2 linked regions of the Ovis aries genome follow. The protein of the gene in region 1 interacts with the protein of each later gene in a pairwise test. Links are inferred from orthologs where the notes say so. Each region holds a gene or a part of one and is shown on either strand. Other genes may lie near its edges.

Evidence for each region. The genes of interacting proteins can lie anywhere in the genome.
Region 2: the proteins of PGBD1 (region 1) and ZNF24 interact in binary tests that used the Homo sapiens proteins (3 or more experiments, as listed by UniProt). The two-hybrid records come from large-scale screens. The link is inferred for Ovis aries from reciprocal best matches to the Homo sapiens genes PGBD1 and ZNF24.

What each region holds. Positions count from the first base shown.
Region 1 is NC_056073.1:29,476,311-29,480,620, reverse strand, and holds the start of PGBD1 (piggyBac transposable element-derived protein 1), read left to right. Parts: upstream 1-1,509; 5' UTR 1,510-1,608; intron 1,609-3,961; exon of another isoform or gene 3,962-4,310.
Region 2 is NC_056076.1:22,076,611-22,080,568, forward strand, and holds the start of ZNF24 (zinc finger protein 24), read left to right. Parts: upstream 1-1,158; 5' UTR 1,159-1,941; intron 1,942-3,127; 5' UTR 3,128-3,206; coding exon 3,207-3,626; intron 3,627-3,857; coding exon 3,858-3,958. UniProt on the Homo sapiens protein: Transcription factor required for myelination of differentiated oligodendrocytes. Required for the conversion of oligodendrocytes from the premyelinating to the myelinating state.

The DNA of each region.
Region 1 (4,310 bases):
TCGTGACACCACCCTACCCCCACCCCTACCCTTCGCATACTTTGCAGAAAATAATGCTTGATTATTCTCTCCCTTAGTAATAGACTGTAATTGAGGAGGACCCTATGGGATCTTCCTGGTACAAACACCTCCCTTCTATCCTCTGCTGTAGCTCCTCTCTGATGTACATAGATAATAATATCTGATGCACTCTCCTGAGTTGTTTTACAGATGCTAACATTACCACCAAATGGAAGAAATGAAATACTTGATGATCATGCCTCTAGACCTCCAGGCCCAAAGTACCAATAAGGTGACTCAGACTGCCTTATTTGCCTGGGTAAAGAATCTGCCTGCAATGCAGGAGGCCAGGTTTGGATCCCTGGATCGGGTAGATTCCCTGGAGAAGGGTATGGCTACCCACTCCAGTTATTCTTGCCTGGAAAATTTCATGGACAGAGGAGCCTGGCAGCCTACAGTCCATAGGGTTGCAAAGACTCAGACACAACTGAACAACTAATACTTCACTAAGTAGTAGTAATGTTAACCGCTGTTACCTCAACACCAACCAGTCAGAGAACTGTGCAAGAGCTGATCACGTTCCTGACAACCCCGCCTCCCTCACCTGACTTTTAGAAAATGCTTTGGTGAAACCCTTTGAGGAGTTGGGGTAGTTTTGAGGACACACCAAGAAGAGTTTGCCTTGGTTGGTCCTGCAATAAACCTCTCTGCTTTAAAACGCCCACATTTGGTTTCTTTGGCCTACTGCATCCAGCACACAACCTTGCATTTGGTAACATGCCTTAATTTTTTGTTACATTCATTCATACATACATATACATTCATTGTATATTTGCATATGTACATATATACATGTTCAACTTAAAAACACTTTTACATTTATTTTTGCCACTGTATTTGATAACTTTTTTAATTGGGGAGAATGGTAAAATATGTGTCCATGTCTTAATTATGTGAGTGAGCAAAGTGGAATACCGGCTGTGATAACACTAAAGTGAGCTGACCTGTTTCCGTGCCTGTGTATGTGTGCTCAGTCACGTCCAACTCTTGGCAACCCCATGGACTAAGGCCCACCAGGTTCCTCTCTCCATGGGATTTCCCAGGCAAGAATACTGGAGTGGGTTGCCATTTCCTACTCCAGAGGATCTTCCCAACCTAAGGATCAAACTTGTGTCTCTAAAGTCTCCTGCATTAGCAGGGTGATTACCGCTAAGGTTGGTAGTCCATGGGGTCGCAAAGAGTTGGACAGGACTAAGCGACTGAACTGAACTGAGGGAACCTGGAAAGCCCCAAAACACGCCAGCTTTCACGAATTTGCGTGTCATCTACATATATGAAATAAATTTCGGGTTATAAACTTAAGAAACCTAAAAACACACCTGGACGCCCCTCCCAGCTTTGGGGCACCCCTCCCAGCCTCTGGACTCCGAGACCGCTCAACCAACTACTAGCCTGAATTTGGCCGCCTCGTAGGAGAGCCATCGAGCCGCAGTCCTCCAGCATTCCTAGAGCGACGGTCAAAAGCGCCGCGGAGCGAGAGCGGCCGCTCAGTAAAGAGCTAACAAGCTGCTTGAAAGCTTTTGGCTTTTCCCGTGGGTCCTTGGAGGGGTGAGTGGTGATTGCGCTCCAGTTTGGGGAGTAACTGCGGCCCGTGGGCCGGGGAGCAGCTGATTCCTTGCGGGTGCGGAGAAGCCTTACCCAATGGAGGAGACGTGTGGACTCTGAGCGGGCGAGGACAGGAGATGTCAATCTTGGGGCCTAGGAGAGGAATGATGCTGTGGTTCTTGTTTATAGAGGCACAATCTTCTGCGTGTGTGTGTGTGTGTGTGTGTGTGTGTATATATATATATATATATATATATATATATATATATTTATCCATTGAGCTCAATTTTAAATATGTATAAGTTAAGCCTTAGAAGGTGACTTTGAGCAAAAGCCTGAGGGAGGTTTAAAAAACCTACGTGGCCTTTGCAGACACGAATTTTCTAGTAAGGGGCAACAGCAAATGCAAAGGCGCTAAAGCAGGAGCTCGCTTATCATACTCGACGAGTAGCTGGGAGCCCAGAGTGGTTGGAGCACAGTGAACAAGGGGAAGGTGTGTAGAAAATGCTGTCAGAGAGATGGGGGTGGGAGGAGGCCTGTAGAAAAAGTGGGTGTTGTGTAAGGAACTTGTTGATTTCTTGATGTGGAAAGAGTATTAGGAAGGTTTTGAGCAAAGGAAAAACATCTGACAGGTTTTTAAGCGTCTACAGCCGGGAACTCAAGATGAGACCAGACTGGAAGGCAAGAGTGGAATCGGGTGACTGGAGACAGGAAAAACGCTGGTTTCTCAGCTTTTAGGCTGTCAGGCAGGTGACTTCTCTTACTGGGGAAAGTCAGCCTTTTTGTTCTATTCTGGCTTTCACCCGATTGGATGAAGTCCACTCACATTAATAAAAGCCATCTGCTCTACTCAGTCCACTTATTTAAATGTTAATCTCATCCGAAAACACCCTCACAGAAACACCCACTGTAATGTTTGGCCAAATATCTGGGTACCCGGTGGTGCAGTCAAGTTGTCAAAGAAAATTCACCATCATAATACCTAACTATTTTCTGGCTAACAATCATTACTTTCATGGACATCTTTTCACTTTTTTTAAGAATATAGCTGACTCTTGAACAATACTGGTTAGCGGCCCATGGTGAAGTCGGAAATCCAAGTATAACTTTACAGTCAGCTCTCTCTACTCACAGGGCCACATAGCAGATTTGGCCTATTTGAAAAAAAAGAAATCCATGTATAAGTGGACCCATGTAGTTCACTCTCCTGTTGTTTAAGGGTCAGCTGCAGCAGGATTGGCGTTTTAGATTGTAAATCCTGTTTTGACAAATAAGTATCAGCTGGGAGTGATACTATGTAACAGCGAACTAAATTTGGAACCTAACTGGGCACAGCCACTAAGTGAGTGAGCCTTATACTATACTGATTCAGAAGTGTGTGCCAACAATTGGCAGATACTATTTCACTTATCTCTAGAGTCACTCAAGAGTCATCAGAATCAAGAGTCCCCACATACCAAGAGCCTGTTCAAAAGATTGATGGTATAATTCTCTGAGTTTTGTTGTGTGGTTTTTTTTAAGGTTGTGCTGGGTCTTCACTGCTGGGCATGGGGGGTTCCCTTCATTGCAGTGTATGGGCTTCTCATTGAGGTGGTTTCTCTTGTTATGGAGCACAGGCTCAAAGGCATATGGGCTTCAGTAGTGCAGCTTTTGGGCTCAGTAGTTGCCATTCCTGGGCCCCAGAGCATAGGCTTGGGACAGTTGTGGGACACAGGCTTAGTTGCTCTGAGGCGTGTGGGATCTTCCCAGACCAGGGATTGAATCCATGTCTCGTGCATTGGCAGGTGGATTCTTAACCACTGAGCCACCAGGAAGACTCTCTTAGTTCATTTTGACATGTTGCATTTGATAGGCTTTTGTAAGGTGCCCAGGAACCAGATAGCCAGAAGAAAAATCTTTCAGAGGTCTGGGCAGAAAAATAAGGAAATCATTGGCATAAAGATGGTACATAACATACCTGTCCTCTATGCTACCCTCTCCTAGCTTAGGTCCTATATTTCTTTTTCCTTTCAATGTCCTGTTTTTTGAAAGACTAATTTTTGCTTACTTGTGTCATTTTTCTCATTTTCCTGTGACTGGGTGACTGTTCTCCCTATCCAATGACCAGAATTGCCTTTACAGCGGTTGCAGTGACCTCTGTTTGTTTTTTTTTTAAAATAATATTTATTTAAATAAATTCATTTGGCTCTGCTGGGTCTTAGTTGTGACATGCTGGATCTTCTAGATGTGGCATGTGGGATCTAGTTGTCTGACCAGGGATTGAACTCAGGACCCCTGCATTTATTGCAAAGAGTCTTGGCTGCTGGACTGTCAGGGAAGTCACTGACTTTTTTTTGTTTTTGTTTGTGTTTTTTAGAAATACTAATATAGTTATGGGCTCCCCTGATGATTCGGCAGTAAAGAATTCACCTGCAGTGCAGGAGATGCAAGAGACACGGGTTTGATTCCTGGGTCAGGAAGATCCTCTGGAGGGAGGACATGGCAGCCCGCTCCAGTATTCTTGCCTGGAAAATCCTATGGACAGAGAAGCCTGGTGATCTACCAGTCCATAGGGTTGCAAAAAGTCAGATGCTACTGAGCACGATATAGTTATGGACAAGGAGACATGAAAAGTTTTGGGGGTTTTCTGTTTGTTTTGGTTTTAATTTTTGGCTGTGGATGGGTCTTCATTGCTGTGTGCAAGGCTTTCTCTAGTTGCAGTGAGT
Region 2 (3,958 bases), on another chromosome or scaffold:
ACTATGTGGAGATACTGTGGTGAATAAGGCAGGCACAGTCTCTGCCTCTATGGGTCTTATGGACAAAAGCAAAACAAACAAACAAAAAAATAGAGAAGTGAATAAATGAGATCGCTTCTACCCAGTGCTATGAGAGAGGGGAGGCTTCCAGGAGGAAAGGTGGTCAGGAAGGCTGAGGATCCAGACCACAATGAGCCTATAGAGCTGGAGAGTGGGGGTGGGGGCAGGGAACAGACTAGTGGGGCCTTACAGGAAAATGTAAGGAATTTTTATGTCATAATTAAGACAGTAGGGGAAGATTCCCCTGAAGGAGGAAATGGCAACCCACTCCAGTATTTTACCTGAAAAATCCCAAGGACAGAGCAGCTTGGCCGGATACAGTCCATAGGGTGGCAAACACAATGAGCAACTGAGCACAAGCAGGAGTAAGGCAGTTAGGGATCCATTAAACGTCTTTACATAGGGGAATTAAGTTGTCTGATTTCTGTTTTTAAACGATCACTTTGGCAGCTGCTTTGTAATATAAACTGTCAAGCCTCAAGTCAGAAAATGACCACGCATTCTGCAAATTCAGTGTGAGCTCACTGCCAAAGCTCTTGGTTAAGAGTCTCATCTTGTTTCCCTGACAAGTAAACTGGTCATAATAAAGTTGTATGGCATAGCAAGTAGGAGGCAAAGGTGAGAGTCATGCCTTGGTTTCAAATCTTGTTTCCCACTCACCAGTTATGAGCACTCCGCAAGCTATTTACTTGTGCCTCAGTGATCTCAGCTGTGAAATGGGAATAACAAAAGTACTTACTATCTCAGCGTTGTTGTGAAAATGAAATTACATGTAAAGCACGGTGACAGTGCCTGGTACAAAGTAATTAACATTCATAAATATTCATAATACTTCTTTCAGAGAACTACTGTGACGATCACATGAGATAATGCATGTGAAAAGGCTTATGAAACCGTAAAGACTGTCTTAGTGGCAGAATTCTTTCTTTTCCTTGTCTTTCAAGCGGAACCCAGAAGGCTGCGATACCGGGGGAGGAAGGCGCGAGGCCAAGCGCAGCCTCAAAGCAGTCATTGTCGTTGGACAGCCCTTCCCCCGGCCCAGAGCACATCTCCATGGCAACGTGGGGCTTCGCCTCCCCCCCGCCTCCTGGGGCCCACAGACCGGAAGCAGTCCGCGCCGGGGGCTGCTGGGAAACGGCTCGTGAGCGGCGTTTCTGCGTCGGCCGAGGACAGCGAAGCGGCTGTGGTTCCCGAGCCCGAGGTTTGCGCGAGTTGGGGGGAAGGGTGTGAGAGACGCTGGCCTGGGGGCTGCAGACTGCTTGACAAGAGTCAGCGAAGAAGCCTGGCGGGAACCTTCCTCGGCTTCTCCCAGAGGCGTGGGGGACAGGCCGCGGTCTCCGTGCCCGGCACTTGTGGGACGGGCAAGGGAAGACGAAAAGCCAGATCGGGCTTTCAGCACCCTCGAAGAGTCCTCCATCCCTTGTGTCCTTCGCGACCCCCGACTTCCCCTCCCCCATCGGCCGGTTTTGTTCTATTTCGAGGCCCTGGCATCTCGCGGAGAATTCTGGGATTCTTCTCGGGCGGAGGTGGGAGTGGGCGGGCCTCGCGCGGGGCCTGCTGGGACTTGTAGTTCAGCTGGCCGCGGGCGGAAGTGCCGCGGCTCGTTTGCTGTTGTGGCCGGGTGGCATTCGGTCTGAGGAAAGCCGCCGCCGCGAGTGCAGGGAAAAGGGGCTGACGTCGTTGGGGTGGGGGCGCGGTTCGAAGCGGCACTCTGCAGGAGTGCGTGGGGAGGTCACTTGGGACCGGGCTCTCCGCCCAAAGACGGTCGGGACCGCGGACCTGCGCTCCCCGCAACTCCTCACATCCCACCGCCAGAGTGCTGTTTGAGAACGTAAAAGGAAGAGAAATGTCTTTTCTGTAGAGTGCTTGAGCCGTAGAAAGGTAGGGTCTTGGAATAGAAACAGATCTGTAGGCCAAAGCTACGTGTTTATAAGGCCGCCACACTCCAGAGTATTTAATTAAACTTGTGTGTATGTTACCTGATAAGATCTTTTCTGATTCCTAGTTTTGGTAGGGTTACAGGAAGTTTTTGGAAATTAGCTTTCGTATTCTGGGGCGTATATGGGTACATTGAGCAGCTGCGTGGCTCATTCTTAACGGGTGTTGTAGACAATGGCATGGGCATGACTGTGCAAATACCAAGGAAAGGATCAGAAATAGCACAAGGTTTCCATGAACGTAGTAGCTGGGGAGATTGTGAGTCATTCAGTGTCAGCGGAAGAATCTGCACCACAAAGGTGTTACGAGAGTTCTTTTTTCCCCCTAGAATTTGCTGATTAATGCCTGTCGTTCCTAATTTAAAGGTATTTATGGTGTGGAGGGTAACTGAAAAATAATTAAATTTTATGGCACATAGTGGTTCCTTTTTTCCAACATTATTATCTATTCCTGACCAAGTGAATTTTTTTAACGTGTATTTAAAGTCCTAGGAGTTCTTAAACATTTAAAAAATAACTGTTAAACGTTTTGTGAAAAAAAGTTTTTTTTAACAGATAGTAAAAAAGCAGTCCCTGCTTTTGAGATGACCTAAGTGTGTCAAGGAACACCAGTATTGAATTGTAGATAATGTGTTCAAGGGTCAGATGCATTTAGATAACACTGAGAAGGGCTGGTTCTTAACTTGGATTCTTTTGATTGTTGAAATAGGTTTTGTTCATAGGTTGGCAAACTTTATCTCTAGAGGACCAGGGTAAATATTAGGTTTCTCATGCCCTATAGTGCCTATTGCAACTACTCAACTCTGCTATTGTAGTGTGAACAAATGAGTAAAATTATTTATGGAGACAGACGATTTAATTTCATGTCATTTTCACATGTAATGGAGTGTTCTTTTGATTTTTTTCCAACCATGTACAAGTGTGAAAACTATTCTTAGTATACGCATTGTACAAAAATGGGCAGCTGGCCAGATTTGGTCATGAGCTGTAGTTTGCAAACTTCTAGTTCAGGTTATTGATTGGCATTTTTAATCTAGTAAAAGAACACATTTTTATTTCCTTTAATCAGTCTGTGTCCAGGTTCTTAGAATATTTAGTCATTTATAAATTTTTCATTTCTTGTGCCTCAGGAGTGCCTGTGAAGAAAACTGGGTATTTCCCTAAGGTATCTTGCCTTGATTGTCTTTCCTTGAAGTATCACAAATCAGGATGTCTGCACAGTCAGTGGAAGAGGATTCAATACTTATCATCCCAACTCCAGATGAAGAGGAAAAAATTCTAAGAGTGAAGTTGGAGGAGGATCCTGATGGTGAAGAGGGGTCGAGTATCCCCTGGAACCATCTTCCTGACCCGGAGGTTTTCCGCCAGAGGTTCAGGCAGTTTGGATACCAGGATTCACCTGGGCCCCGGGAAGCTGTGAGCCAGCTTCGAGAACTTTGCCGTCTGTGGCTCAGGCCAGAGACACACACAAAAGAACAAATCTTGGAGCTGGTTGTACTGGAGCAGTTTGTTGCCATCCTCCCCAAGGAGCTACAGACTTGGGTTCGAGAGCATCATCCAGAGAATGGAGAGGAGGCAGTGACGGTCCTGGAGGATTTAGAGAGTGAACTAGATGACCCTGGACAGCCAGTAAGTTTCCTGTTAGGAGTACTGGCGTAGCAGTATTCACAGCTTCTGAATTAGTTCCACTCAACTAAGTTAGAATTATGTTTATGCTTCCCCTCCCCCCCCTTCATTATTTATGCTGCTTTGCCCTCTAGGCCTCTGCAGCATATGTTTTGTATGATTTCTTTGGTGTGTGTTTTAGTTTTGATTCTCATCAAATTCCTTCTCAACTGAACCAATTCCTATCATTTCCAGGTTTCTCTTCGTCGACGAAAACGGGAAGTGTTAGTGGAGGAGATAGTATCTCAAGAAGAAGCTCAGGGATTACCGAGTTCTGAGCTTGATGCTGTGGAAAA